Ovis aries: one gene and its partners. The protein of the gene in region 3 purifies or fractionates together with the protein of the main gene of each other region. This does not show direct contact. Links are inferred from orthologs where the notes say so. Each region holds a gene or a part of one and is shown on either strand. Other genes may lie near its edges.

Evidence for each region.
Region 1: the proteins of FUS (region 3) and LARP1 purify together in Homo sapiens (affinity purification with mass spectrometry; 3 studies listed by BioGRID and IntAct, with this or other methods). This does not show direct contact. The link is inferred for Ovis aries from reciprocal best matches to the Homo sapiens genes FUS and LARP1.
Region 2: the proteins of FUS (region 3) and HNRNPC purify together in Homo sapiens (affinity purification with mass spectrometry; 3 studies listed by BioGRID and IntAct, with this or other methods). This does not show direct contact. The link is inferred for Ovis aries from reciprocal best matches to the Homo sapiens genes FUS and HNRNPC.
Region 4: the proteins of FUS (region 3) and RALY purify together in Homo sapiens (affinity purification with mass spectrometry; 3 studies listed by BioGRID and IntAct, with this or other methods). This does not show direct contact. The link is inferred for Ovis aries from reciprocal best matches to the Homo sapiens genes FUS and RALY.
Region 5: the proteins of FUS (region 3) and IGF2BP3 purify together in Homo sapiens (affinity purification with mass spectrometry; 3 studies listed by BioGRID and IntAct, with this or other methods). This does not show direct contact. The link is inferred for Ovis aries from reciprocal best matches to the Homo sapiens genes FUS and IGF2BP3.
Region 6: the proteins of FUS (region 3) and DDX39B purify together in Homo sapiens (affinity purification with mass spectrometry; 3 studies listed by BioGRID and IntAct, with this or other methods). This does not show direct contact. The link is inferred for Ovis aries from reciprocal best matches to the Homo sapiens genes FUS and DDX39B.
Region 7: the proteins of FUS (region 3) and DDX42 purify together in Homo sapiens (affinity purification with mass spectrometry; 3 studies listed by BioGRID and IntAct, with this or other methods). This does not show direct contact. The link is inferred for Ovis aries from reciprocal best matches to the Homo sapiens genes FUS and DDX42.

What each region holds. Positions count from the first base shown.
Region 1 is NC_056058.1:63,776,794-63,780,293, forward strand, and holds part of LARP1 (la-related protein 1), read left to right. Parts: intron 1-444; coding exon 445-573; intron 574-649; coding exon 650-850; intron 851-949; coding exon 950-1,112; intron 1,113-1,930; coding exon 1,931-2,075; intron 2,076-3,500. UniProt on the Homo sapiens protein: RNA-binding protein that regulates the translation of specific target mRNA species downstream of the mTORC1 complex, in function of growth signals and nutrient availability.
Region 2 is NC_056060.1:24,220,408-24,224,652, forward strand, and holds the start of HNRNPC (heterogeneous nuclear ribonucleoproteins C1/C2), read left to right. Parts: upstream 1-1,445; 5' UTR 1,446-1,573; intron 1,574-2,188; 5' UTR 2,189-2,233; intron 2,234-4,245. UniProt on the Homo sapiens protein: Binds pre-mRNA and nucleates the assembly of 40S hnRNP particles. Interacts with poly-U tracts in the 3'-UTR or 5'-UTR of mRNA and modulates the stability and the level of translation of bound mRNA molecules. Single HNRNPC tetramers bind 230-240 nucleotides.
Region 3 is NC_056077.1:27,781,522-27,785,641, reverse strand, and holds the start of FUS (RNA-binding protein FUS), read right to left. Parts: upstream 2,801-4,120; 5' UTR 2,729-2,800; coding exon 2,716-2,728; intron 1,172-2,715; coding exon 1,147-1,171; intron 1,061-1,146; coding exon 906-1,060; intron 138-905; coding exon 1-137. UniProt on the Homo sapiens protein: DNA/RNA-binding protein that plays a role in various cellular processes such as transcription regulation, RNA splicing, RNA transport, DNA repair and damage response. Binds to ssRNA containing the consensus sequence 5'-AGGUAA-3'.
Region 4 is NC_056066.1:63,428,823-63,433,038, forward strand, and holds the start of RALY (RNA-binding protein Raly), read left to right. Parts: upstream 1-1,416; 5' UTR 1,417-4,216. UniProt on the Homo sapiens protein: RNA-binding protein that acts as a transcriptional cofactor for cholesterol biosynthetic genes in the liver. Binds the lipid-responsive non-coding RNA LeXis and is required for LeXis-mediated effect on cholesterogenesis.
Region 5 is NC_056057.1:32,994,807-32,998,865, forward strand, and holds the start of IGF2BP3 (insulin-like growth factor 2 mRNA-binding protein 3), read right to left. Parts: upstream 2,801-4,059; 5' UTR 2,418-2,800; coding exon 2,243-2,417; intron 1,036-2,242; coding exon 975-1,035; intron 1-974. UniProt on the Homo sapiens protein: RNA-binding factor that may recruit target transcripts to cytoplasmic protein-RNA complexes (mRNPs). This transcript 'caging' into mRNPs allows mRNA transport and transient storage.
Region 6 is NC_056073.1:26,832,893-26,836,392, forward strand, and holds part of DDX39B (spliceosome RNA helicase DDX39B), read left to right. Parts: intron 1-189; coding exon 190-282; intron 283-2,336; coding exon 2,337-2,520; intron 2,521-2,577; exon of another isoform or gene 2,578-2,654; intron 2,655-3,500. UniProt on the Homo sapiens protein: Involved in nuclear export of spliced and unspliced mRNA. Component of the TREX complex which is thought to couple mRNA transcription, processing and nuclear export, and specifically associates with spliced mRNA and not with unspliced pre-mRNA.
Region 7 is NC_056064.1:47,759,534-47,763,560, reverse strand, and holds the start of DDX42 (ATP-dependent RNA helicase DDX42), read right to left. Parts: upstream 2,801-4,027; 5' UTR 2,658-2,800; intron 1-2,657. UniProt on the Homo sapiens protein: ATP-dependent RNA helicase that binds to partially double-stranded RNAs (dsRNAs) in order to unwind RNA secondary structures. Unwinding is promoted in the presence of single-strand binding proteins.

The DNA of each region.
Region 1 (3,500 bases), on a different chromosome or scaffold from region 3:
ATAATGGCAGCTCTTTGATTCCTTTGTCCTGCTGTGTGTTGGCTCTTCTCATCTCAGGTGACTCACTCTACTTAGGGTGGGGAAAGGGGGGAATAGCTCCTTGCTTTTTAGGGACGCACCCTAGAATTGAGTGCTTGCATTCAGCTCTCCTTGGCATGTATCTAGGGGAGCCTGGAGGTGCGGTCTTGATTCCAGGCTGCCATGTGTCTGGCTGTAAATGGCATGCTCGGGAGAAATCAGTGTTGGGAGTCAACCAGGAGTGTCCATCACACTGAAGTCCACCACTTTCTTATTTCAGGGATGAAAATGAGCTCCAGTGAGGGAAAGGCATTTGCCCGAGGTGAACGGGCAGTAAAAGCCCTTCCAGGGACAGAGGATTGGGGGTAGAGGTGGGCGGGAGGGGCCTCTCCTTCAAGCCTTTCTCGTGCCCACGCTATCCTCCAGGGAACAAACACAAGTGGGTTCCGTTGCAAATAGACATGAAGCCTGAAGTGCCCAGAGAGAAACTGGTCTCACGCCCTACTCGTCCTCCAGAGCCACGACACACCCCCACCAGCCGCGGGGAGATCAAAGGTATGCGCTCCCACTATGGAGGGCCTGGGCCTGGGGGTCACCCCCAGGCCTGACCTGATGCCCCCTCTCCCCATAGGGTCTGAGCCTGTCACCTACGTGCCCGTGGCCCCCCCCACTCCAGCCTGGCAACCAGAGACCAAATCGGAGCCTGCCTGGCATGACCAGGATGAGACATCGAGTGTGAAGAGTGATGGGGCTGGTGGGGCGCGGGCTTCCTTCCGTGGCCGTGGACGGGGGCGTGGTCGCGGACGGGGACGCGGACGGGGTGGCACTCGAAGTACGTGAGGCCCCTTTGGGCTCCGGGATGTCTGAGGGAGTTCAGCGGGGGCGGCAGGCGGGGATCTCCTCTCCCTCATGATGCTCGTTCCTCCCATAGCCCATTTTGACTACCAGTTCGGCTACCGAAAGTTTGATGGTGTGGAGGGGCCTCGCACCCCCAAGTACATGAACAACATCACCTACTATTTTGACAATGTCAGCAGCACTGAGATTTACAGCGTGGACCAGGAGTTGCTTAAAGACTACATCAAACGCCAGATGTGAGTGGACAGGCGTCTTCCTTCTGGAGACATGGGTGGGGTTGAGGGGTGCCTGAGGACGGAGTAGGGCTGTACAGGCTCTTCTGGGGATCACAGTGGTTGCTGCCTCTGGCTGGAGATGAAAAAGATAACTTGAGAGAACTGTACTTCTGTTTTAAAAATGAATCAGTTAATGTTTTTAAAAGGAAAGAAAATGTCTAGATTTTGTTCCCTTTGGGCCTCTATTTGTAATGGCAGCATTGTCAGAATGCTAATAGACACTCATGGAGTCCTCATTGATGAGGCCAGTGCTCAGCTTTATAGGCATTCTCTTACCTAGTTATGGAGTTACCTATTTAATTTTTATGAGCTGGGTTTTATCCCCTTTTTATTGATAAGCAAACAGGCCCAGTAACTTGCCCAACTAATAAGTGACAAGGCACAGATTTCAGTCTGTTTCTGTCTGACTTGCAAAACCTTAACTCCTAACCTCTAGTGGACTGTCTCAGTCCAGTGGGGGGAGCCATACAAGAGAAGAGATGACTGCAGTAGAGTGTGATAAGCTCTTTAGGAGCGGAGGAGAAGGTGACCAACAGTATTGGGACTGGGTTTTAAAGGATGAGGGGCTTGTCAGGTGTACCCAGAGGCTGAAGGGCAGAGAGAGTTTGACCCAAGGTTAGGGAGCCATGAGAGGATAACATCATCTCTTTCCAGCCTTTAAGATTGTAAATACAGAGGGACAGGGTTGGTCAGAGGCTGTATGAGGTTCCTGGAATGTACAGAACAAAGAAGGCACGTTCACACATGATGGAGCAATCACACTTCTCCCCTCCACCCAGTGAATACTACTTCAGCGTGGACAATTTAGAGCGAGACTTCTTCCTGCGGCGAAAAATGGATGCTGATGGCTTCCTTCCCATGACACTTATTGCGTCCTTCCACCGAGTGCAGGCCCTTACCACTGACATTTCACTCATCTTTGCGGTATGTCTCCCTCCCTGGGGCTGGGGTGGAGGGGAAAGAAAGATCCTTACTTAAGGAGCTGGGGTTGGGTCAAGCTGAAGAACCCCAGAAGAGTCCTCATCTCATTACTTGTGCTAAGGTTTCAAGGCTTGGCCAGCCTCTCTCCCTCTCCTCGTTCCCTTCCCTTCTCTATCTTACCTTCCTCCCCCCGGACCTCTTTATCATGGAAGACAGCAGACATGGAAATTTTACAGAAGTCAACACAGTGGTGTAACGAGCCCATTACCCATGCTCAGCAGCTGTCAATTCATGGCCAGTCTTATTCCATCTGTCTCCTCATCTGTTTCCTTTCCCAGATTACTTTGAAGAAAATCTCCAGTAATCTGACATTTTATCCATGTTTCAGTTAATCTATCTCTAAAAGATAAGTGAAAGTGAGGAAAGTGAAGTCACTCAGTCGTGTCTGACTCTTTGTGACCCTGTGGACTGTAGCACGCCAGGCTCCTCTCTCCAAGGCAAGAATACTGGAGTGGGTTGCCATTTCCTTCTCCAGGGGATCTTCCCAACCCAGGGATCGAACCTGGGTCTCCTGCATTGCAGGCAGATGCTTTATCCTCTGAGCCACCAGGGAATCCTCCTGTTAAAGAAAAGTACTCACTGTATCATTATTACCTATAAAAGTACTAAGAATTTTTTAATATCACCAAATATTTGTTCAGTTGCCAATTCACCCCCGTTTCAGAAGTTTTCTTTTAGTAGTTTGTGAATCAGGATCCAGATAAGATCAATACATTGTCTTATGATATCTCCTCCTCTCTCTCTTCCCTTGCAGTTTTTTGTTGGAATGCTAGATTATACAGTTTGTAGAATTTTCCATAGGACACAGTAGTACCATTTTACATGTTTCGTACTCCAGATTTTTTGTAAATTAGTGATTGAGAGGCCTGATCAGATTCAGGTTTTTTTCTTCCTTTCTCCCTCCTTGTTGAGAATACTTTATAGATAGTGATATTGATATATTCTCTCAGGTGGCACTTAATGAATGCTTCATCTGGTTCTCTTTTTTGTCATATAAGCTGTAAATTACCTGTTAATTCATTAGAAACTATAAAATGTTTATGTTCTGTCTGTGTCTGTATTTGTTTGCTGGAATAACTCTTTAAGGAGGTACTTTGCCTTATCAGCTGTTTGGTTACCAAGAAGCATGTAGTTTGTACAGGAAGGGCAGTTAAGTGCTTGATCTTTTCCTTTGTTAACCAGTTCTCAGAATTATGAGCTGATCCCTAATAACCTTCAAAAGTAACTGGTAAGGTCTCAGTTTGGTTTTTGTTTGTTTTTGTATCATTACAGACTAGTAGATTCAAGCATTTTGTTTCATTTATTGTAGTTATTATGCTAAATCAAATCATTACCAGTGGGACCCTGGCTCATCTTGTACTTTTGTTG
Region 2 (4,245 bases), on a different chromosome or scaffold from region 3:
CACTCGTTACTAAACTGTCTTGATTTTTGCCATTTGACAGGTAGACAGTTTCCTTGTGAATCTGAAATTAAGAATTAATTCGAAACTAATGCATAAAACTGTATTCACAAATGCATATATTCCTTAAAATGTATAGAGTATCACATTCTCTAGATAAGTGTTCTGCAATCTTGCTTTCCCCAACTACACAGAGAAATATCCTTTATTCCTATTCCTAGCACAGCTGGTCCTTATTGCATTGCGTGCTCGGCTGCTATAATATAACCAGAGGGACTGCAGTGCAGACGACGCCGGTAGGTGGGAGACAGGATCGTTTCAGGATGCGGAGAATTAAGGGACCCGATTGTGGGTTCGGGCGGGGGAGAGCTAGCCAGTTGAACCAATTTGGTTGGCATATAGGATATCAGAAAGTGAGATGATGATACTGGATGCTTGGGGCTGGTACACTGAGACGACCCAGAGGGATGGTACGGGGAGGGATGAGGGAGGGGGGTTCAGGATGGGGAACACGTGTATACCTGTGGCGGATTCATGTTGATGTATGGCAAAACCAATACAATATTGTAAAGTAATTAACCTCCAATTAAAATAAATAAATTTATATTAAAAAATAAATGAATACACTCCCTCAGCCTCACCACTTTGGGAAAAAAAAAAAAAAAGAAAGTGAGATGACTTGGGGCCAGAGGACGAATGCTGTAGTATCCCAGGCCAGTATTTTAGACTTTATTTACCTTTTGCAGTGGAGAGGTGAGTTAAGTCAGTTGTTTTGCGTGAGTTATGGGTTGTTTGAAGGGCTTGACAAGCTGAGAAATGTCCAGAAAGGAGCTCTAGGGTTGGAAAAACTGCAGGGCTGGTTTGTATTCTAGCTTTCAGTGCTCCCTCCCCAGTCAAAGAAAAAACAATTTTTTTGTTCACCCCGCGGGCTACAGCTTTTCCTTTTACCTAGGCCGGGAGCTAGGGTAGACCTTTCAGAAGTCTACCAAACAAGACCCGGCAATCTTCATCTGCCCCCCTACCCCCGCCCCCGCCCCCGCGCCGCGGGAATTCCGAGATCCGGGTGGGCCTCCTTCTAGGCGCTCTGAAGAGTAGCGATGGGATACTGAGACCGCCAATCAGGTATCTCGGATACCCGGATGTGAAGCGGTGAGCCTTACAAAGGCAAGTTTCCACCCAGAGCTTCGTCAGGGTACAGTGGCCAATAAGCATGTCTCAGAAGATAAATGACAGGAAATATGACCAGTTACAAACTAGTTTCTCCCACGCATGTGGAAATTCTCTAGATTAGTCTAAGCCACTACTGATTGTGATTGGATAGAATTGTGAAGAGCGGTAGAACTGTCTAATGAGAAGCGGGAGCGAGAAAACTCGCAGCCAATAGGAGGATTCTCAGAAGAGAGGCGGGCCTAGGCCTTCGCCTCGGCGGCAGAGGAGACTCGGGGGCCATTTTGTGAAGAGGCGAAGACTGAGCGATTGCGACCGCGTTGCCGACCTCGAGCAGCCATCGGCTTCTTCACGTAGAACCCAGGGGTAGGAGATTCAGAATCGAATCTCTTCTCCCTTCCCCCTCCTGGTAAGTGGAGGGAGCGGAAGCAGAGGAAGCGCTGGGTTCTTTGGGGAGCGCGAGGTGGAGTGGGAGAGAGGACGAGGGAACCCTCCCCTCGGTAGAGTAAGCAGGCCCCCATTTATTCTCTGGTTTGGGGGATTAGATCTTACGCGGAGAGTTTTCTAGGCCGCAGCCCTTGAGTAGATTTTTAACCCAGTGTCCTCTAGGCCACAATCGGCAGGGAAAATGCTGTTTTTCTTTTTCGCTTTCTTGTGTTAACGGCTGTCCTTTAATTTTCGGTGACCATGAGGACTCTGAGATTGTGAAACGGATGATCAAAGATGCTCATGAATGTAGTTCAAGTTAATGTAGTGCCGATGCTTCCTGTTAAATTTTAAAATTAAGTGGGGGATGGGGAAGATTTATCAAGCAGAAATTTTTTGTACCGCAAGCCTCCAAATTCTGGAGCGTACCGCAGGGTATAAATATGAAAACAATAGTTTTAATATTTTACTGATTACTTTTTAGTTTACGCCTCTCTGAACAAATGATGAACCTCGAAATATTTTCAATTTTATTTAAAAAATTGTAATCTGATTTACATATCAACAGTAATAATTAAAGCTGGGTTTTTATCTGCAGGTTACAAATCGCTTGAAATATATAAGTTAGTGGAACTTGCTTGAGGTAGGTATACTATCTTTCTTAGACAGAAACCGAGGCATGAGTGTTGCTTGCCTGGGTCATATTAATCAGCCGAACTAGTAAGGAATTTGGTCTCCAGGTTAAGGCAAGTGGCTTTACCTCCCCGTTGAAATCGTAGATGTTAAAAATAATTACAGCAAGGACTAGCGGTAACTGGAAATACCCAAACTGCTCTTGGGGAAAAGATTATGAGTATTGCGTTTATTAAAGTGACGTCCTAAGATTTTGTGAAGTTTGATTTTCGGGATATCTGGCATTAATTTTCCGGACCATCCCAAAGTTGGCAAAAATGCATAACTATATGCCTTTTGTTAAGCAGGTATTATGGTGGTTACTGTTTGCTAAGCCCTGAAAATTACTAAACAATTTTTGCCAGGTTTTTAAAAATTACATAAGTTTCAAAGTATCACATTCACTTATCCAAGAAATCGCTTTTTTTTGATCTTTGTGTAAGATTTAGGTGATTTTGTTTTTCATAATGTGTTAAACATTCACAAAAAGTAATGTTAAGTATAGTTTAAGCCCATACTGGGTAAATTTGTCCCTTAGGAACAGAAGCTAAAACTGTTACTGTAGGTAGCTATGTATCGATCCCTTAGCATATAGATTTTGTAATAGAATTAAAAGCTTTGCCTTAAAAATAAAAGCTTAAGCATTTAGATTGTCACATGGACTTTAAAAGGGCAGTAATTGGTTAATTTAGGAAATCATACGCCTAATATTGTTGGCAAATAAAGAGAAATGTAGGAAATCAGTATTTAAGAATGGTTAAATTCTTAGATGGAAATAAAATTATTTGAAGTGCACTTTTCTTGCCTTGAGGTGTTAGAAATGGGTTCCATAGGATCAGCATGTACCAAGGTAACAGTTTAATATCACTCATCTGGAATGATTTGGCCACAAAATTAATATCTGAAATAACTGTAGATTTGATTTCAAATAGATAGGCATTAGTAACATTTTCATGTTGGTTGGAGAAGAGGGATTTAAGAAGGATGGCTTAAGCTGGAGGACTCTGTGTTTCCCATGCTCATGCCTCCTGCTGTTTTCTTTGGTAGAGGATATAAACACACATTATTCCTGATTAGGTCTCTAGAGGGTTTTGCATAGTTGTGTGACCTTGTTTTGGATGGAATTGCTGTTAGAAACACGGAATAAGCTCCAAAATAGCTAATTTTTCTAATCTTAAAGATTAATTTATATTAACTGGTGGATGTGTGAGATGTCAAGTGGGAAGTGTGACAGTTGAAAGAACCCTGGTCTAGGAGTTAAGAGAACTGGATTTTTCCCCTCCTGCTGCTTATAAAATCAGTTAAACTTAATGAAATTCAGTTTTATATTTATAAGGGGTCTTAACAAGAGCCCTGGGGCTTCAGAAACTCAAGGGCAAGGCCTCCAGCCCAGCCCGCCCTGTTGTCACGGGGTGTGTGAACCCAAAGCCTCCTGTCTTGCTCATGTATACCCGTTTAGCATTCCCTCCAGAGAGGGTCCTCCTGCCCCCCAACCTAGGTAAATGCAAGATCCGCCTTTCCCACCAGGGCTGCCAAAAACTGGTCTGCTTTCCCCACCAGAATGATGTTGTTATTGCGAACCAGGGAAACAGGAAAAAAGGTAGTCTCTATCCTCACGGAGAAGGCGATGGCACCCCAGTACTCTTGCCTGGAAAATCCCATGGGCAAAGGAGCCTGGTAGGCTGCAGTCCATGGGGTCGCAGAAGAGTCAGACACGACTGAGCGACTTCACTTTCACTTTTCACTTTCATGCATTGGAGAAGGACATGGCAAACCACTCCAGTGTTCTTGCCTGGAGAATCCCAGGGACAGGGGAGCCTGGTGGGCTGCCGTCTGTGGGGTCACACAGAGTCGGACATGACTGAAGCGACTTAGACTTCTTACCTCTTAATGTCTGTTTTCTGTAATTCAAGTGATTTTTTGCCAGAAGGCTAAATAGTGTACAGAAATAGTTTCATTGTTGACAGCAGTTTTTGTATATTA
Region 3 (4,120 bases):
GGTGCTGCTAGGAGCTGGCTGCTGGCCATAGCCAGGGTACGAAGACTGTTGCCCGTAAGACGACTGAGAACTCTGGCTACTGCCATAGCCACCAGTTGAGCCATATCCCTGGGGAGCTGACTGCGTGCCGTAGCCTGCTACAAGGAAAGGAAAAGGGAAGTCACAGAAGCTATGAGGAAAGAGAACAGGCAGGGAATGCACTGAGAACAGCCCTGTATACCACTTAGTGCTTCCTGTACTTGGTAAGTCAACTTCTTAGAAAATGCTTGGCAATCTTGCAACTCATAGCTAAAGAGATTACCTTTTCTACCTGAAAGCTGTGTTTCAACTTCTACTCAAGTTTTAAGTTCTAACCTCATACCACACACCCCCAAAGCCAGCCTCCAGGACCACCACTAGTCATAGCCCAAGAGATCTCTTGTCACTAACAGCACTTTAACCTGCCCGCCCCTGGCAGAACAAATAAAGACAAGGCGTTTTATTTACACTCCAGGGACCTCAGGGCAAATTCCACTTCCTGGTGTATCCACGTGATGCCACCTGACTTCAAATGTCTTCAAGCAAGTCATTTTCCCTCTTTAAAAGCCTAAAGCATTTCTCCCTCTAGAGAATATTCCTCCCACCTTCATTTCACTTTCATGCTTAGGGGAAATTGGGAAAATAGCAGCATAAACAGAAAAGTAAAAAGTAACAGAAAATAAAAGGAAGCAGGATTACAAACCAATTAAGTCTTTTTGTTTCAAAGGACTCAAAACATCCAAGAGCTTTAAGGGTCAAAAACCGGTTAAGGGGAATGTTTCAGCACTGCTTAGGTTTAAGAAAAGCAACATTCACAAAAAAAAAAAAAAAAAGAAAAGCAACATTCACAAAGAGCAGAAGAGGTGGGGTGACCCACTAAGACTCACTATTCTGGGTCTGTCCGTAAGAACCACCGTAGCTGCTCTGGCCATAGCCCGAAGTGTCTGCAGACTGGCCGTAGCCACCGTAACTCTGCTGCCCGTAGGGTTGACTGCTCTGCTGTGAGTAGCCTTGCCCAGGCTGAGTTGGGTAGGCCCCATAGCTGGAGAAAAAACAGTGCTCTCAGGAAAAGACATCTTAACCACCCTCACCCTCTACAAACTCTGGAAGTCCAGAAGGGACACTCACCTTTGGGTTGCTTGTTGGGTATAGTCTGCAAAAGAAAAACAGGATTATATTACCTTCAGCCATTTCTCAGAATAGACGAGCTAAAAGACTTAAGCTTCAGGGTCCCCAGATAAGAAAATCAACAAAGGAGGCATATATTCCCTCATGAAATTCTATGGAGAGGGGCAGTCTGTGAGACCCCAGACAAGTTTTCTTACAATGAAAAAGGCAACGAGAAAGCGCATTTCCACAAAACCAAGAAAGACGCCTTAAGTACTTGAAAAAGCAAGAGTGCTAACGGACAGCAGCAACCTGTCCGCAACTTCAATCGATGTCAGAACTGCAAAGATTTACGCATTTCTTTCCCACGCTCCCTTGAGAAAGAAGACATCGCCAAGAGTTAGGCTGAAACCACACAGCTGTTTCAGCAGGACAGGTTTTTAATTCAAGCCAGAGGCAGAACTGTTCCGAAGGGAGCCTCCGCTTTCTCAATCCAAAGAACAAGAATGTCTCACAAAACGCCACGCTTCACCCTTTGCCCAATCTTGGAGCCTGGAAATGGGAGCTTCTGGTGCAAAGCCAGCTAACCAAGGGAAGAGAGCACTCTGATCAGCACGTTGGCTGGTACTCAAGCCCCCAGCCCTGTGGCTCCCAAACGAGTGCGTTTTCCTGTCCCTCTTGGCTAACTCGGGGCTGCGGGAAGACTAGGCGAATCCAAAGCAGCGAAAGTGCTTTTTAAAACGCCACATGGAAGACGCACGGGCCTGATCCGCTCATCTCCTCGATACAGGAAACGAGGCGCTTCCCCCGCAGGAAAGAGCCAAAGCACCGAGAGAGGGTGTGGCCCCAGGCGACAGTTCTTTTCAGTTCCCACCTCTGCAAGAGGAAATTCAGGCGGGAAAGGCCTCGGGCCCAGTCCTCAAGACCGTTGGACCACTCCCCAGCCCCCCACCCCCAGCCGTTAAGCGGGCGCGCGGCCCAGACCCCGAGCCTCCGCCTCTGGCCGCGTGGCAAGCGAGGCGGGAACGAGGCGGTCCCGCCCCTTCCCGAAGGACCCCGGGGGCGCGGCCCACACCGGACGCGCGCCGCGGAGCCTCCAGCCGAGGGTCTCGCGACAAAAAGCAGGGCAGACAGGAGACCGGGGTGGGGGGGGCGGTTCGCGCCGCCAGAAAGGGGAGGAGGGGCTAGCAAAGCGCGTGCGCGCTCCTCCGAGTGCCCGGATGCAGCACTGCGACAAAGCGGGCCCGAGCGCGGGGCTGGGGACGAGGGGGAGAAGAGGATACGGAGGCCGAGCATTTCCATCCATGCCTCCCATTCCCAATCACTAAGCCGCGTCTCTCCCAACCCTCACCTCAAGGAAGGGGGCAACGAAGGGACGACCTCCCGCCCCACGCGAGGCGCCAGATGAGCAAAACAAAATGGCGACATCGGCCTCCCCCTTCCACCCCTCTCCGCTGCTTCTAGCCAGTGGTGCGAGGAAAAGATCCTGCACTCGATAGCCGCCCGGGTCCCACCGAAAAACAAAAGCCGGACTGGGAAGGAATGAGGTCCGGGGCCGGCGCGCCACGATCGCCTCGCGCCCTTACTTACCGTTTGAGGCCATGTCCGCGCACGCGCGCACAGGCCGACAAGCAACAAGGTTCCAACACTACAGAGCACCGACGCCTCGAGGACTGAGCAACCCCGCCTCCTGCGTCGAGGTTTATGTACGCCTCCCCGCCTACGTCTCCCGGGGGAACGTACCAACTACGGAAAGGAAAGGGGGAAACATGGCCGGACTCCTGGCACTCTTCAGGGAGTATAGAGGATCCTAGCAGGCAGAAAGGAAATATATTAACTAAGAAACGTTCAGATCATATAGATAACCCTTTTTTTTCTGACAAAGAACTATTTGCTTTGCAAGACTAGCCCACGTTTCACCTCCGCCCCTAGGATGGCATAATGGTACGATCCGATTAACCCCTGGGGGCGGGGCAAGGGGCCCAGGGCTGCTGCGGGCGGAACTGTAGTCAAAGCCGGGAGTCGTAGGGCGGGAACCGAAATTCCTCAGGCTGGCCCCTTTCACTGGGCCTCACTTTCACTCGGGGTGTGGAGTTCCTGCGTTCCGTTCCCCTTCCACTTTTTCAGACGCGAACTCCCTCCGGCACATCCTCCCTCTCTGGCTCTAATGTTCCTCCCAAGACAACAGACACAGACCCTCTCTCAGCGTCTCGGTTTTCACTCATCGTCTTTTTGGCTTACCTCTCTTGAGTCCTTATCAGGGTTTGTAGATTGTGCCTTTTGACATGAAAGAAATAAAGCAGGGAGTTTAGCCCAGACCCTTCGGTCCTAGTTTGATCAAGCACTGATCGCCCACCCAGCGTCCTCAAGCCTTGGCCCCTGACTAGCTGTTGGACGGGAAAGCCCAAACCCTCCGGATCTCAAAGAGCGTTGAGATTAGATAGGTATCTCCCACCCTTTCACAGATGTTTTCCTGAAACTCTATCAAGAAACCAATGTGGAGATCCAGTAGTAAGTGATATTTGTATAGAGCTGAAGTCGTTTCAAAATGCACAATTAAATGCTTTCCCAACACAGTCTTATGAAGAAAGTAAGCTATCCCCATTTTATAGAAAAGAGAAATAAGACACCGACCAAGAACAATCCGTGATTATAGAACAGGTATCCTGATTCGAATCCAGGTCTGTGCAGCTACAAAAACACTCCTTTTGTTGGTTATGTGAACACTTTGCGGTATTCTGAAGTCTTTTCACTCTCTACAAGAACGAGGACAAAATGTGAAATTCAAATTAACTTGCAACTTGCACTCTAGTCAAAGTTCCTAGAGAAGGAAATTTGAAAGTATCTACTAAAACAAGACAAAGGAGGTTATTCCTGGTACATGTGCCATACAGATGTTCCCTCCCAATTTACCTTTGACCTGAGTTACCAGAACTTTGTTTGTAGACACGTTTTAGACACGTTTTCCTAGAGAAATACTTGTGGACTATACCCA
Region 4 (4,216 bases), on a different chromosome or scaffold from region 3:
CCTGAACATTTTGAAGTCTAAATATGTACTTGAGAGAATTGTTACACTGTTTGCTGAACCATGGGGACTGGGAAATGGGAGAAGGGTTCACAGTTTGTTGACATATTATTTAATTGGAGGAGCTGATAGTCCTTTCCTATTACCTCCCACCTCTTAGTGCCTCCGCTTTTGGGCTTGCTTTTGGGCTTTAACCCCAGCCTGCAGAGATCCTTTAGTTCCTTGTGTTTGCTACTTTGTTCATACCTGGAGCCCTGCCCCCAGATCCTTCTACCCAGGTCTTACTGCAGCTGTCATTCCTTCTCGGAAATAAAATAGTACATGTAAAGTGCTTAACCCAGTACTTAGACGATTTCAAAGTGTGCCTTAAATGTTATGGCAGTTAAATGACGGTTGTGGTGGTGGTGATTATCATAGCTTTGTGCTCACGGTATCCTTTGGAACTACCTGGCTGAAGGACTCAGGAGTCAACTGGTGTTTAGTAAAAAGCCTGGACTGCAAGTAAATGGAGAGTATCCCAGCGTTGGATATAAATGAGGGCTCTGAGTCATGTCAGCCAGGACTAGAGCATGCGTTTTCTGTCTTTTTTCCTTCTGTTTTTTGAGAAGTGGTATAATATATGATTAAGAAGGCAAGCCCTGGAGGTTGAACTCAGGTTGAAGCCCCGAGTCTACCATCTATTAGCTGTGTGACTTGGGGCAAATTTACTTAGCATTTCTGTATCTGTTTTCCCTTAGAAAAAGTGAAGAATGTAATACCACACCAACCTTACAAGAGTTCCTAAAGATTTAATGAGTTAATACAAGCAAAGTGTTTACAACGAGGCTTGGCACTGTGCTACTGTTCTCTTTACCCCAGTCATTTCTACCCCACATTCCAAGTAATAATATAGGAGTTTCTCTGTCCCAACAGAGGACGGGGTAAGTGGAGAAAACTGAAGTCAACATCATAGTGCTTAGAAGTTTGTCCCATCTGGGTTCTAGGTTTTGGAAGCCTGGAGGAACTCTTTCTTTCTGTCACTACGTTCTAGTTCTGTAGACTTTCTTGTTCTTAGTGTAACAGACTTCCTCTTGCCCATTATTGCCTCAGGGCTTTTGTGCTTATTTCCCCTCTCTGAAGCTCTCTTCCTCTGATCTTTGCAGATCTCACCCCCTTACTTGGGTCTCTGTCTAGCGACTGCTTCTTGGAGAAGTCTTCCTTGACTTTCATCTAAAATAGACCTCATTTCACTCAGTCGTCCTTTCTTTCCTTGCTTTGTTTTATTTTTCTTTATAGCCCTTAGCACAACCTGAAACTGTTTATTAACCTTTTTTTTTTGCTAGGTTGCAAGACCTGTGAGGGCAGGAACTTCAAATGCATGCATTGACCTAAGCTCAGGCCTGTTTTGAGCAAGACCCTGACTGACTTCTCTCTGTTTTAGGTGAGCCCTCTTCCCTGAGGCAGTTGGTGCTGACCCTGTACCACAAAAGAAGAACTTGCTGGCTGAGCTCAGCCTTGCTGCTGGTGAGTGAGGGTACCTGGGCAAGCTTGGGCCAAGATACAGGGTAACTAGTTTGGGGCTTATTTTTACCCTTAGTACAGGTAACATAGATAATTACTCTCCTACTCCGTGCCTAAGAGACTGTCATAGGCAGACAGTCTGGGATCACTTGCCATGAATAAAGCAAAAGCACGCTCATTTCCTGCTGGCTTCTGCCTGCTACTTTCTGCTGCGTGGTATCCTGGACCTAGCTAAACCCATTCTGCCACAAGCTCTCTTAACATGACTTCATGCTGCTGCTGCTGCTAAGTCGCTTCAGTCGTGTCCGACTCTGTGCGACCCCATAGACGGCAGCCCACCAGGCTCTCCCATCCCTGGGATTCTCCAGGCAAGAACACTGAAGTGGGTTGCCATTTCCTTCTCCAATGCATGAAAGTGAAAAGTGAAAGTGAAGTCACTCAGTCGTGTCTGACTCTTAGTGACCTATGGACTGCAGCCCACCAGGCTCCTCCGTCCATGGGATTTTCCAGCAAGAGTACTGGAGTGGGGTGCCATTGCCTTCATAGCCTTTTCATACCTCCCACAAGCTCTCTTAACATGACTTAATAGCCCTTCATAGACTTTTCTGATTTCAGTCTTGAGTGTGACCTACCAAGCCCAGACTCAGTTTTGGGAAATCCTGTGGTTTTATCAGTCCTGCAGAATATGGATCATCAGTGGAGCTGGGGATGCAGTGTTAGAGTGGGGCTTTGTGAAGGGAAAGTCCAGCAAATTTTAGAAGGAAGACTGCAGATGGTGAAATAGGATGGGAAATCAACATATTAAGAATCAGTTGTGTTATGGATCTCATTTATACTATATAAAAATCCCATTTTATAGATGAGGGAATTGAGGCTTAGGAAACTGAAGTAATATGCCCAGGGTTTACGCCTGGAAATCCATAAAGCTGATCTTAGAATCCAGGTCAGTCTGTGAATACCATTCTCTCTGACTTGGCATGCTTTCTTTGGACTGCTAATCTCCTTGGAATCATGATTTTTATTATAAAATTCAAGAAGACAGACCTTCTTAGGGGTTCAGGAAGGAGGCCTAGTTATTTGAAAGGCACAGCAAGGCAGGCAGGAGTTGGGGGTCCCTTCTGAGCAAGGACATTTTTAGTGAGGTGGGCCAAGAGGCTGGAAGAAAGAACCTCCAAGCAGGCGGAGACCCAGACTTAAATATGAGTGGAAGGAGAAGAAAACATCTATAACACTTGGGACCCCATGAGCACTTGGGCTAGCATGGACAGGGACCTGGTGAGCTGACTTATAGTTGGAAAACCTGGGGCTTTATTGTCTCTCTCAATAGTTTCCTTTGGATAATCTGTTTCCCTATTTTTAAGTTGTTAGAGTGCCTCCATGTACCTTCACATGTTTATTTTGTGTACACCAACCATATAGGATGTTGTAGAGAATCAAATGGGAAATGCAAGTTGGAAAGCTTTGGGAATTGTAAAAACTGAAGTGAGAGAAGAGAGAAGAAAGTGTTATAGGTATCTCTGGCATTCTCAGTCCCTGACCTTTAGCCACCCCACTCCCCAAAGGCAAAAGGGAAGGTTTTGCTTTGGAAATCTACACTGTAAATTTTCTCCCATGCTCTTCTCTTCCTCTCCTCCTGCTGCAGGCCCTACCAGAAAAAAGTTGAAAAGTTCCACAGATTCAGTCTTTCCAGGGCACAGAGACAGAACCAGGCAGCATTGGCAGCCATCATTTGCAGCATGTAGGCTGCGGAGTACAGGTTTAAATGCACTCTCACAGCCTGGCTGCAAGTCCGCGGCCAGTACAGATATTATGGTTGTTTTCAGGAGTCCATCCCCAGCATGTGTCTGTATTCACTGACTGCTTCCACTGGGATGTTGCTTTGTTACCTACTGTTATCTTAGACCAGGAGGGCTGTTCCTATTTTGGCCCTAGGTTCCCTACCTACTGCCACCCCTCACTATTGTTAGTGAAAACTCATGTATACTGTAGCCTCATATCCTATCAGAGGCCGTGATCATTACACTTTTCCCACCATTTCTCTCGCCCTTGGCTGGTGATAGAGGTCTTCATACTCTCTTCGTGTTCTGTAGTAAGGGACATTCTGTTCTTCCCACTGCCCGCCTGAGGGTCCACAGAGGGATCCGTTCCTCCACCTGAGGCTCCTGGAAATCCACTTTGGCCAACCTTCCCTCCTTTTCTAAGTCTCCAGACACTTGGCTGTCATCTCTTTTGTCTTGGTTAATCTAATGTTCTTTAGCTTCTGGCCTTTCCATGGCCTGGGCATCAAGCTTGGATTTTACTGTTCTTATGACAACTGCCCTGCTAAGTAGTTCCATTGTTGATTCTTTTAAAATATGAATGGTTCCATGTAAAAAACTGTATAATATACTGATACTCATATAATAGCTTATTTATCTAACATCCTCAATTTTCCAGAATCCAGCTAAAAAACAAAAGGTAGCAAAGCATTGTTATCCTTAATACCTTGCACAGTGCTAATTTATTCCTGTTTTTATGTTTTGTTGTAACAAGCTTAACAATCTGGTTTCTAAACCCCCAGAAGATTAAGAACAGGGCATATAAAGGGGAGGAGGAGCTGCTATATTAGCAGCAGAGGTGAGAGCTGAAAGCCAACTGTAAGGGAGATATAAAAGAAGAATGATAAGACAGAAAAGTCAAATGGGTATGAAGGCTGTACTTTAAGGGCAACAGCCCTGTA
Region 5 (4,059 bases), on a different chromosome or scaffold from region 3:
TAGTTGAAATTAACTTCCAGTTTACTGCTGGACCGCGGGTTGGGAGTGGGGGAAGGGGGAAGGCAGAAACCCTAACCCCACTGGGCAGAAGCCAGCAAGGCACAGGCCAAACCCAGTACCCCCTGGGAGGAAGCAGGGCCTTTCCAGCCGGAGTTAGAGAGCCGGGATCTGGCCTGCTCGGGAGAAAGCAGCCATTTCTCCAAAATAGTCCAGGGATTAAAAGTCTCCAAACACTGTAAACTGACACTACACATGCTTTCCAAAAAGTGCAACCCCTTCCTCGTTGAGGAAGCAAAAATCTTCAATCTTCTCCATCTCTTGGTGGTTTATCTACAAGCCAAATATTTTTTAAATTGAGAAGCAGGGTCGAGGGGAGTCCGGGAGACAAAGGCGGGTTTGCAGAAAACCCGTCTTACTCTGCAGGAACTGAAAGGCGCTTTGGGGCAGGAGAAACCCAGGCGTTCCCTCACAGGGAGCTCCCAGGGTAAAGGCAAATTTCTCTCCCCTCAGATGCACGCACGGCCCCCGCAGACTCTTGCCCGCCGCCGTGGGACAGAAAAGGGAAAGGCACGCCACACCCCGCGCGCGGCTGCAGCTGCTTTGCCTCTCCTACGGTTTCAGGCGGGGGGGCGGTCACCAATTCCCACGGATGCCCAGAAACTGCCCTCGGAGACTCTTGATTTCCTGTTGCACCAACCTGACCTACTCTGCCGGAGAACATTTAACCGAAAGAACTTCCTTAAGCGACTTTATATACCAGTATAAACAGCCCGGTGGCAGGGCCACAGACAAGCTGTCTATTCCTACAGAGCAGTGTGCACACACACACACCTGCCAGAAACACAAATGCAAAAGAAAACGAGAAACGCCAAGCCATACAGCAACCCCAATAAGTGGAAAAGTTGTTTTCAGCTGTGTTCTCTCCTCCCAATGGCCGAGAAGGGAATCAATGAGAACATGCTAAGCAAGCTCACCTCTGCCTTTTGGGGACCGAGTGCTCAACTTCAATGAGTTTTCCGTGCAGTTCCACTTTACCTGCGGACACACAAGAGGTGCAGGACAGTTGGCAGAGTTGAGCGGCTCTCTGGGCCTCCTTAGACCCGGAGCGGCTCGAGGCCGAGACAGAAAGCGGCCCCGCGCGGGTGGGAAAGGAGGAATCAATGGGCAGAGGTCGGTAACACTCTCCCCGCCCCCCTCGGCCTTCCCCGCCCACGTCCCCCGAGACCCTAGCAGACAAACTCAGGGCAAAGGGCTGCGTGGGCTTTCCTCAGGTGGGGGCGCCTAGGCCCTTCTCCCAGGGGTTCCGGCCCAGGCCCGCTGGGAACGGGCTGTGAGTGGCGGGAAAGGCTTGAGGACCGTCGGGCAGGCGCCGAGAGAGCGAACGTCCAGAGGCGCAGCTGGGCACCAGCGGAACCACGCGCGAGGGACGGCGCCCGCCACCCCGAAAGGCACGCGGCTCTGAGCGGGACCCGAGTGCATCCTTCCCCCGCGCGCGCGCCCGACCAGCCCCGGAGGCCGCGGCCCGAAGCCCGGCCCCGCAGGGGGACGCGCTCCCAGGCGACCCCTGGTCGCCTGAGCCCACCTCCCCTGTAGCTCGTCGGACCCGGGAAGGTGGAGCCCAGAACCCGGGGGTTGCCCTCGCCCGCCTCCCTGCAGGGTCGAGGGGAGCGCGGGGCCGCCCGTGCGCGGCACCAGCCCGCGGCCTCGCTTAGGCAGCGGGGTCCAGGCCACTTTGGAGTTCTCCCTCGGCCCAGCTCTGGGGGCGGGAGAGGAGGCAGCGAGTCCACCGCCAGAAACCCCCCTCACACACACACACAGAGGGTAAGGAAGGAGCGAGAATCGGGCGTTCGTTCCCGGCCCCCAAGGCCCGGCATGCCGGAGCCTGGAGCACGCGCCTGGGCCCGGGCGGCGCGCGGGGCGAGCTTCCCCCCTCCCCGCTCCAGCACCCCAACCCCGGTCCCCGGCGCCGCACGGTGCCCCCGCTCCCCTCCGAGCCCGAACCGGGGTTTTCTGGACAGCGCGCTCGCCCTCCGCCCGCAGATCTGGGGGGGGGGGAGGGGAGCCGTGGGGCCGGGTAGGCGCCCCGGCTGGGGGAAGGGCCCCGACCCGCGCGTGCGGGCGCCCGGGCCTTGGCCGCTCTCCGCAGGCGCACCCGCACCCGCCCAGGCCGGGGCCCGGTGCGGACAGCACGGTGTGTGGACTGCCGCGAGCCCGACCCCGGCAGGCCCGGCCCGGGGCCCACCTGAAAGCGCCTCGATGGCCTTGAGGGCCCAGCTGTCGTCCGGACAGTCCACGAACGCGTAGCCCGTCTTCACCAGGAAGGGTCCCGACACCGGGATCTTGGCGTCCTTGAAGACACTTTCTAGGTCCGAGGCGACGGCGTTCTCGCTGAGGTTTCCGATATACAGTTTGTTCATTGTGAAGAGTGGTTGTTGCTTTTATAAAAAAAAAATTAGGAGAAAAACGAAAAATTAAAACCACCCACAGCGATGGATGGATCCGGCGAGTTCTCCTCCTCTTCTCGCCGTTAAAATACACAAACACAGTAAGAACCAAGGACAGGAACGAGAAGCGAAAAAAATCAGATCCGAGGGTTCCTGTTTTTTCCTTTTCTAGGTATTAAAAGAAAAAAGAAAAACCCTAGCGACAACCCAAACGCATCCAGTCTTCCTAACTCGGAGGAGGAGGCGGGATTAGCAAGAAAAAGGAGGAGAGAAAGGAGGGGGGGGAAACTACTTTTTGTCTTTTCCTCCCCAAACCCTCTGGCATCGACCGACGGACTGTGAAAATATTACACTACGAGAGGGCAAGCACCGCCTCCCCATAAAAAAAAAAAAAAAAAACCCAGAAGGGTGACTGGCAGGAGGGAGGGGAGAAGGGGTGGAGGGGAGGCAGGCGCAGGAGGCGGAAAAAATCCGCTCCGAGTGTCCGGCTTTTTGAATGAGCCACGTGTTCAAACTACAAATCAACGTCTCACGTGAGGAATCCCAGCGCCTCAATTACAGTGGGTTTCGCAGGAAAAAAAAAAAAAAAAGCTAGCAAGAGGAGGAAGAGGGGGAGGGGTAACAAGATTGGGCGAAGGACCCTGCGCAGGGGCGGAGAAAGAGGAGCGGAAAATGCTAAAGGAGCCGCAGCCGGGGTTGCGGAGGGAAGCGCGGCTGGGGGAGCTGATGGTCACCACAGAGTTTAGAAAGGGTTATCTGGTCGGGGCGGATCCTCCAGGAGGGGAGAGGGGGCGGGAGGAGTATTGATTTTTTTTAAAAATGTGATTGGAGTGGGGGTGCTAACTAGGCAGTCCCTCGGCTCTATTTACCCGAGTTTTAAAGACTCGGTTTTTAAAAATCGGTAATCAAACAAAGCCAAAGAGTCACAATTCCGAACTCGCCTTGTGGCTTCGATGACAGAAGTGTAACCTCGGCAAACCGCGAGCACCTTTCCAGGGGTTGGTGGGGACGGAAACGCAGCAGGGGGGGGGAGGGTTGGGAGGGAGCCGGAGAGGCGGGCCGACGCGCCCCACCCTGTGCACCCTTTGCTGGCGCGGGCACCGGCAAAGTGGGGCGGCCCCGAGCCAGGCCGGTGGGGGGATGGGAGCCCGCGGCGTCCTGGGCGGGTGTCTGGGCGACACCTCCTCCGCCTCCGCCTGCGCTCGCGGTGGCTTTGGGCTTCGCGTTTGCTATTGGTTGCGCGATTCAGAAAAGGCTCCGGGATCAATGAGGCCGGGGGCGGGCTTGGCCACCGGTGGGGGAGGGGAGCGCAGGGGCCAAGGTTTCTGGAGTGGGGATGGGGGCGTCCCGGGCCTCGGAGGCCGGAGCAGAAAAGTCAGAGTGGGAAAAGTCGGTATTTAAACGGAAACCATATCTTCCTGTAGTTTCCAGAGGAGGAGGAAGAGGAGGAGTGGGGTAGGCTGGTACTTTTATTTAAAGAATTTTAGCTGGAGAACTTGGGACTCTTAAAACAGGAACACCGCTCTGCGTTACCCCTAAGTGGTAACTTGTACTTGAAAAATTGCTTAAGTCTCTTTCTGCTGCTTTTCTGCCTGCATTTGGCCATTATAACCAT
Region 6 (3,500 bases), on a different chromosome or scaffold from region 3:
CTGCTAAAATGACCTTTATCACTCTTGACTGAGAGCTCTGGGGAATATTCTGTAGTAATCATGGGGTTAATGATTTAGACCCAGAATTGTAGCCGCTTGTGATCTGCTGGGTATGCTTTTGTGGCGTCCCTAGTGAAGGGATATACTGTCTGTGTCTCCAACTACTGCCCGCCTCCCCCCCCCCCCCAGGTGTCTGTACTGGTGATGTGTCACACTCGGGAGTTGGCTTTTCAGATCAGCAAGGAGTATGAGCGCTTCTCCAAATACATGCCCAGCGTCAAGGTAAGCCAGGGTAAGAGGCTTGGGGGAATGAGGGTGTGGAGAGTTGGAGGCCTTGGGAACTTGCTAGATCAGTAGTCTTCACGTCCCACAGGTATTAAATACCTGTACACAAATAAACTTGTAGGACATAGTAAGTTCCTGCAACTTAGGTGTCTAAGAGATTTATGTTCTGATATGAATTATACTTGTTAGAGGTGCCTCCTATATTGTATTGATGTGTGTATACATTGTATCAGCATGTATATACACTGTGTCAATATGGGTGTGCATTGTGTAGCTGTGATATTCAAGGTGTGGTTCCCAGACCTCTGTGGTTTCAGTGTCACTTGGGAGTGGTTGGAAATGTAGATAGATAACATGGGTTCCACCCAGACCTATCCAGTATGAACATGCATTCTAACAAGATTCTCAGGTAATTGGAGTTTGAGAAGCATATGTATATGCTTGATGTATATAATTTTTTATTCTCCTTGGGTGAAAAAGTACAGTTTTGTTCAGATTAAAAATTTCCCCCTTAATTATTATATTTAGAACTAGGAATATTTGAGTAGTAGCCGTAAACTAAAAGTAATTTGTTTAAAATAGTAGTAGTAGTACTTGCGCTTGGTAAAATGTGTAGTTAATCCAAAAGATCTTATGATGAATTTGTGTTCTCCTGTCTAATCATACTTCACACAGAGTATCACTTGTTAACTTTTTTTTTTTACTTCTAATGTTCTGTGAAACCAAGTATTAGGCACTATTTTCTCAATTTGTCTACTTAAAAGCCATTTTAACTTTTCATGTAAGACTGTTTAGCTTGTTTACATGGTTCTTTTTCCCAGAACTTGGGAAAACTGTTTAATTTTCTAAATATAGTCAAAGCTCTGTGTGTGTGTGTGTAAAGTATATCTGTGTTCATACAGTGTCGGTTTCGTTAGCATTTACTTTCTGTCTTTTTAGCAAGTGGAGTTTCCATAACTTTCCATTGTTAAGACTATGAAAACATTTGTTGTTGAGCTCAATAGAGAGCTAGGATGTAGTTTCACCTCAGTAGGTTTAATTCATCACCTGTGGACTCAAAAGAGTGTTCTTGGTGTCAAGATCAGATATAAATTTGATTAGTCTATTTGTCCTTTTGTTCAATATTATGCTTCAGTGATTTGATAAAGAGATTGGGCTAGTTCTGCAAAATGTCCTACCTCTGGATTTGTCTGGTTACTCTCCTGTTGTGGTGTTTTAACTTGTTTTTCGCTCCCAGTGTTTCCTGTAAACTGAATTTTTTTTTTTTTTTTGGTGCTGTGGCACCTAGTGTGTGGGATCTGAGTTCCCCCACTAGGGATCAAACCCATGCCCCTTGCATTGAAAGTGCAATAACCACTAGACTGCCAGGGAAGTCCCTAAACTGAAAGTTATGTTTGAAAGCTTAACTGATTCAATTTAAAGATTTTGGGCAAGAATTCTTCATAGATGATGCTGTGTATCTCCTGTTTTGTTGCAGACCACTTATCCCACAATTAATGGTTTTAGATTTACCCTAGACTTAAGGTTGTGATAGTCTGATCCCTTGATTGGTCTCCCCCTTTGAAACTAAAAAAGCAGTTTCTGATGCTGTATTAAAAGGCTCAACAGCCATTTCCTGAATGGTTTTAAGGTGGAGTAATATGTCTAGCCTAAACAGGGTCTATTCAAAGGAATTTAAAAATCTAGGGTCAGTTAGGAACACTTGATACCTGTGAGCTTTTTTTTGGTACTTGACACTTAATTTCTTGCCATCCTCATTTTTACAGTGAAGTCTGGCTTTGGAGCTGGAGAAGGAAAATTGTTAGATTAAGTCAGAAGAACTAAATGCTAGTCCTCAGAGCCATGATCAGCCATGTAATTTAGGACAGGTCACTTTTGTTTCTTAGCTTCAATGTTTGGGGGTTACGATACTTTTAGATTAGGTGATCTCATGTTCCGTTTAGCTCTGAAATGTTCTGAGAATTGGTTTAGAGCAAATTGAAAGGATGGGAACCTTGGGAAGGTTGACCCTTTCCTTCCTTGTGAAATATTGTTCTTTTCTGGGTTGGCAGGTTGCAGTGTTTTTTGGTGGTCTGTCTATCAAGAAGGATGAAGAGGTGCTGAAGAAGAACTGCCCGCATATCGTCGTGGGGACCCCTGGCCGCATCCTAGCCCTGGCTCGAAATAAGAGCCTCAACCTCAAACACATTAAACACTTTATCTTGGATGAATGCGATAAGATGCTTGAACAGCTCGGTGAGTTGTCCCAGTCGGGCTGGGCTGGTCTAGTGATCTGGGAAGTTGCCTTTTGGAGCCAAATGATGGTTATTTGATACTGGAGCACTTTAGTGCCAGGACGACTCTTAACCTATCACCCATGACTGATGGCTCTGGCTTCCCTGGTCAGTCTCTGTTAGGCTTGTTAAGCTTCCTTGGTGATCAAGGAGAAGGGGATCATGTTCTTCCTTTTTGTGGTAGATGTTTATCTTTGAGAGGAGGGACTTAGCTAATCTTGGATGTTAGTCACACCACCATTGTGTCCTCTAAATCTCTATAGTGGGTGTCAAAGGGAAGACAATGGAGCTGGAAAAGGAGACAGTCTACTTGTTTGGCATCCTCAACTCAGGATGTATCATCAGATTATAGCTGAATAAATGTTTCGACTTAAGTTCTGGAATGAATGTGGAGAGTGTGTGTGGGAGTCTGTGTGGTGTGGTGTTCCAGTGTGCTAAGTGCTGTGAAGAAAGGAAGATGTTTTATGAGAACTCAAATTTGGTGAATGAGACTAAGGATGGGCATATACCCAGGGATAAGTCATTCCAAATGATCTTTGGCTATTCTAGATGGCGAGCTATAAAGTGGGCTCCAAGTAGAGATGTCATATTTGCCTGACTGGATAGGACAGTGTGATCCAGAGGAAGCATGGAATGGACTCTGACAGCTGGAATATAATAGGTGCGCGATATTGGTAGACAGTTGGAGCTTGGGGAGAGAGGAGTAGGGAGAAGGGCTTTGTAAGGACTTAATCTTTGTGAGTCTCTGCAGTGGGCTTTATCCCCATTTTCCAGTTGTGGGCTTTGGGATTTCATCTAATTTCTTTCGTGGTTAAAATACACGGCTGGAACCTGGTCCATAGGCACTGTTGTTCCCACTGTATTGCAGCCCTGGACGTGATTACATGGCGGTTGGAGATAATAGAGTAGAGAGAGACCCGAGGCAAATCTTAACCCTGACCC
Region 7 (4,027 bases), on a different chromosome or scaffold from region 3:
TTTTTTTTCCTCTTCTGTTTTCCAGAGAATACACTCATCATTCATGTTTACTCAACGTATAGGAGACCTAGGGAGATTCACAACTTGGCCAACCAGAAAAATTAAAGACAGCATAAAGTATCAATACCTGCTTGGTACTGTTTTAGGCACTAAAATGTGATTTAGTAGAAAATCTTAACAGCACAGTAAAGCAGCACAGACCGTGGAGCCAAGCTGCCTACGTTTAAACACTGGCTTTGCCAGCTAACTTGATGCGAACTTCATGGAAGTTATTCAGCTTCTCTGGCCTTACTTTCCTCATCTATAAGATGGTGAGACTATCACCTACTTCATAGGGTTGGTGTGAAAAACTGAATTCACACACAAAAATACACCTGGAACAAAGCTTGGCAAATGGTGCACAATGCGTACTAGCTGTCATGTTTTATCATTTTTTTTTTTCTTTCCAGAAATCAATCTCTCCATTGGTTAATGCAGAATATCAAGTTAAGACTTCTCAAGTTTCTTTCGACTTAGAGATTCCATACCTTGGTGCCACATGACACTGAAGATGTCAGAGATCACTACAAGTTGACAAATGGGGACAGGCTTCAAAAGAGAGCTAGAACCCAGAAGATTAAGTTGTTTTTTTTTTTTTTTTTAACACAGAAAGATATAAGCTGAGTAGAGAAGCATGATGCAAGGAGGAAAGCTAGAAACAGCAAAGTCTAGGAAATTAGAATAAGTGTAGGAACACAAGGAAGATAATTTGGCTAGTTTATGTTTTGAGAAATAGTGGAAAATAAGATCCAAATGACTTTAAGAATAGTGGACTAAAAACTAATGATTATAAAATGTTACTTTTTCGTTATCATTGTGTTTTTGGAGTACGAGAAAGATTTCTAGTGACAGTTGATCACCGTCTACTCTATCTAACAATCTGCCTTGAGAATAACTCACACACTATAAATCTGACTCTTTACCAAGAATTTGTACAAAACCCAAGAATTCCAACACATTCTTCTAAAGCCAAAATAAGTAAATGCTAGATTACACTTGTTTTGGAAGCATCTCTTTTCCCTCTGCTGGCTTAAAGAAACTAAGAGCTGATTACATAAAGATGTGATAAAAACTAAAACATAAAGAACTGTACTCTTCCACAAACTGCACTAAATTATTAACAGTGTAAGTCAGATTTTACCATTCCCCTGCTCAAAACTCTCAGTTTCCATCTCAGGCAGAATAAAAATGAAATCTTCACAACAGCCTAAAAGGTCCTGGTTGTCTGGTGCTCCCTGCAACGCCTTGTTCCCCTCCCTGACCTTATCTCCTAATAATTCCTCCTTTTGCTCACAGTACTCCAAGCATGCTGGTCTTCTAACTGTTCCTCTAACAAGCCAGCATTGTCCTCTTCAAGGTCTTTATACTTGCTGGTTCCTCTGCCTGGAAGGATCATTCTTCCAGAAACTAGCTGGGCTCACTCCCTCACCTCCTTATCTAGTCTGCTTAAACATCAGCTTGTCTGTAAACACTTCCCTGACCATGCTGTTTAAAAATGCAACATCTCCCCATTCCTCTCTTCAGCTTTATTTTTTTTTTTTCACCTAAGGCATTAATCATCTTCTAACTTACAGTATAATTTACATATTTGTTTTCTCTCTTCCCCTCACTACAATGTTTCAGGAGGGTCGGGTCACAAATCAAGCACACAGGTAGGGAACAGGCACACAGAAGTTATCAACAAAAATATTTCTTGGGTGAATGAACTGCATATTAGGCCAGAGTATGTCTCTTCTGGGTACAGGAAAATACAACATACATTTTTTTTCCTTAACCACTTAAAGTCTCAACATGAATTTTGGTATGAAAGACCTTCCACTGGGCTTGGCTCTGGAAAGTTAAAGCGAATTAAAACAGAATCTCTGCTCTTTAGGAGTTCGGTGGTGTGTATACAGAAAATAGATATATACAAAGATCATTCACAAAAAACCAAAATGTATGGGAAGCCAGAGGAATCTGAATGACCGCCCAAAGGGGTGAGGGGGCAAAGCTTCCGCTAAGGTGATAAGAAAGCTACGATTCCCCCGAAGTCTCGACAAGTATGATCTTTCTTCCTTATATTATTGGTGCCCTAAGCTTGCAACTCCATATAAATTATTTACCCACATCAGAAAGGCTCTTTAGCAGGCAGCAGAAAAGTTTTGTGAGGAGGCTGATGCTAGTCACAGATACACTCAAAGCTACACAAAGATCACAGACTATGCCTTTCACTGTCTTCAGATTTGGCAACTTTGGCCTGGAAGGTCCCCCGATCTGGAAACTAGCATCTGTTAACTGCTGCTGGCTCGGGTCAGAATCCTCCCCGTGCCTATGCCTCCCGGAGCCCAGCACCCTGCAAATCGCTTCCCGGACGGGCGATCGCCGCCTCCGTAAAGCCGCCAACTGGGCCTCATTAAGAGTTGTGGGAGAAGCGGGAGCCGTAGGAGGGCGACGAGGCTTCGAAAGGCTCCTCGAGTCTTCAGTCCCGCACTCCTACCCCTCCCCGGGCCCCTGCGCCTCGGCTTCCTGGAAGCTCCGCCGACTCTTTGTTAAGAGAGGCCGCGGTTCCCTGGCCCTCACTAGGCCCCGCAGTTGCCTGTGGTGCCCCCAAGGGGTTACGGCCCCGCGTCCAGACCCACCTCACGCAAACCTGCTGCTGTGGCTGCAGAGGCAGCTGTTGCTACCGCTGACTCGGAGAGAACCTCACGGCCCGAAGTACGCGCGGTCCAGGCCCCGTCCCGCCGCGCTCCTCCCTCTCCGCCCCCTTCGCTGCCGCCGCCGCCGGCGCCGCCGCCACCGCCTCTTGGCCCGTTGCTGACGGAGGGGGGAGGGGAACAAAACCGGACATGCGCAGTGCGGAAAGCGCGGGCGAAGGGCGGAGCCTGGTCTACGGCTCCCGGAAGGCGCCGCGGGCTCTGGGCCTTAAGGCTCCCGGATACCGCACAGACCCCTCAGACTCTTACAGCCATTGCTTCTGAGTGAGGAGTGTTCATGGCCCGTATAGGGAGTGGGTCTGGGAGTGAAGAAAAGTAGTAGTGGCAGGGAGCCGCCAAAAAAAAATCCCCCAAAAGGGGCTCGATTGGAAAACACATGCACATGAAATTGCCGATTCCCTAAACTCTGCTCCTTAGCAAATACGACCTGGGCGACATTTCTCCCCGTGCCCCTGGACACGTGGTCTTGTAGAGCATGGTGACTTTTAACTTCCGGAGCAGGGGTTCAGCGTGATGACAACTAGACTGAACCCTAGCGGAGAGCACTGGGATAGGCGCCGGCAGCTCCGGCCCAGGGGCGGTGCTTATGTAATTCTCCCGGCCGCCCCACCTCGCCTCATCTTGGGGGGGAGCAGGCGGTTTCGCGCAGTCCCCAGGGCTGTGTCCCGGCCCCGTGCCGCGCGCAGGCGCGGGCAGGCCTCACGCATTCTACGTAACGGCTGGCGGAGGCTACGTGAAGAGTGGCGCGGCGTGACTGAGCTGCCTGGTCAGGCTGTGTCCTAGAGGCGTCGGGGCAGTGAAGTCGCGTTGACCCTGCAGGCGGTGGCCGGGACCAGAGGCTAGCGGGATAGAGGCGGCGGCCGCAGGAGCAGCGGGCCGGGTTCTAGCCCCCAGTGCAGGTAGGGCGCGGGCCGTGACGCGCTGGTCGGTGGGGCCTGGCCGGGCCGAGCGGTGACGCTGAGTTGCGTGGCCTACCCGGGTCCCTGTTCCCAGTCCAGCCCCTAAGTCCAGCCTTTAGGTGACATGCTTCGATCCTCGCGCCTTCTCGCCTTTCCCGATTTTCTTAAGAACATACCAAACTTTGTCCACCCCAAATCCCTGTTTTCTGTTGGGAGTTCTCTTCGGGATGGCTTTAACGGTTTTGGGCAACTTCCAGAACTCTGAGCAAATGCCAACCCGCAGAGCAAAGTTGGAGCGGGCAGCAAGAATAATGGAGCAGAGAACTAATTCTCCGCGTTGGGGAGAGATTAGACCCAGCTGGTTTGACAGACAGAAGCAGCAACCTCGGTGGTGAA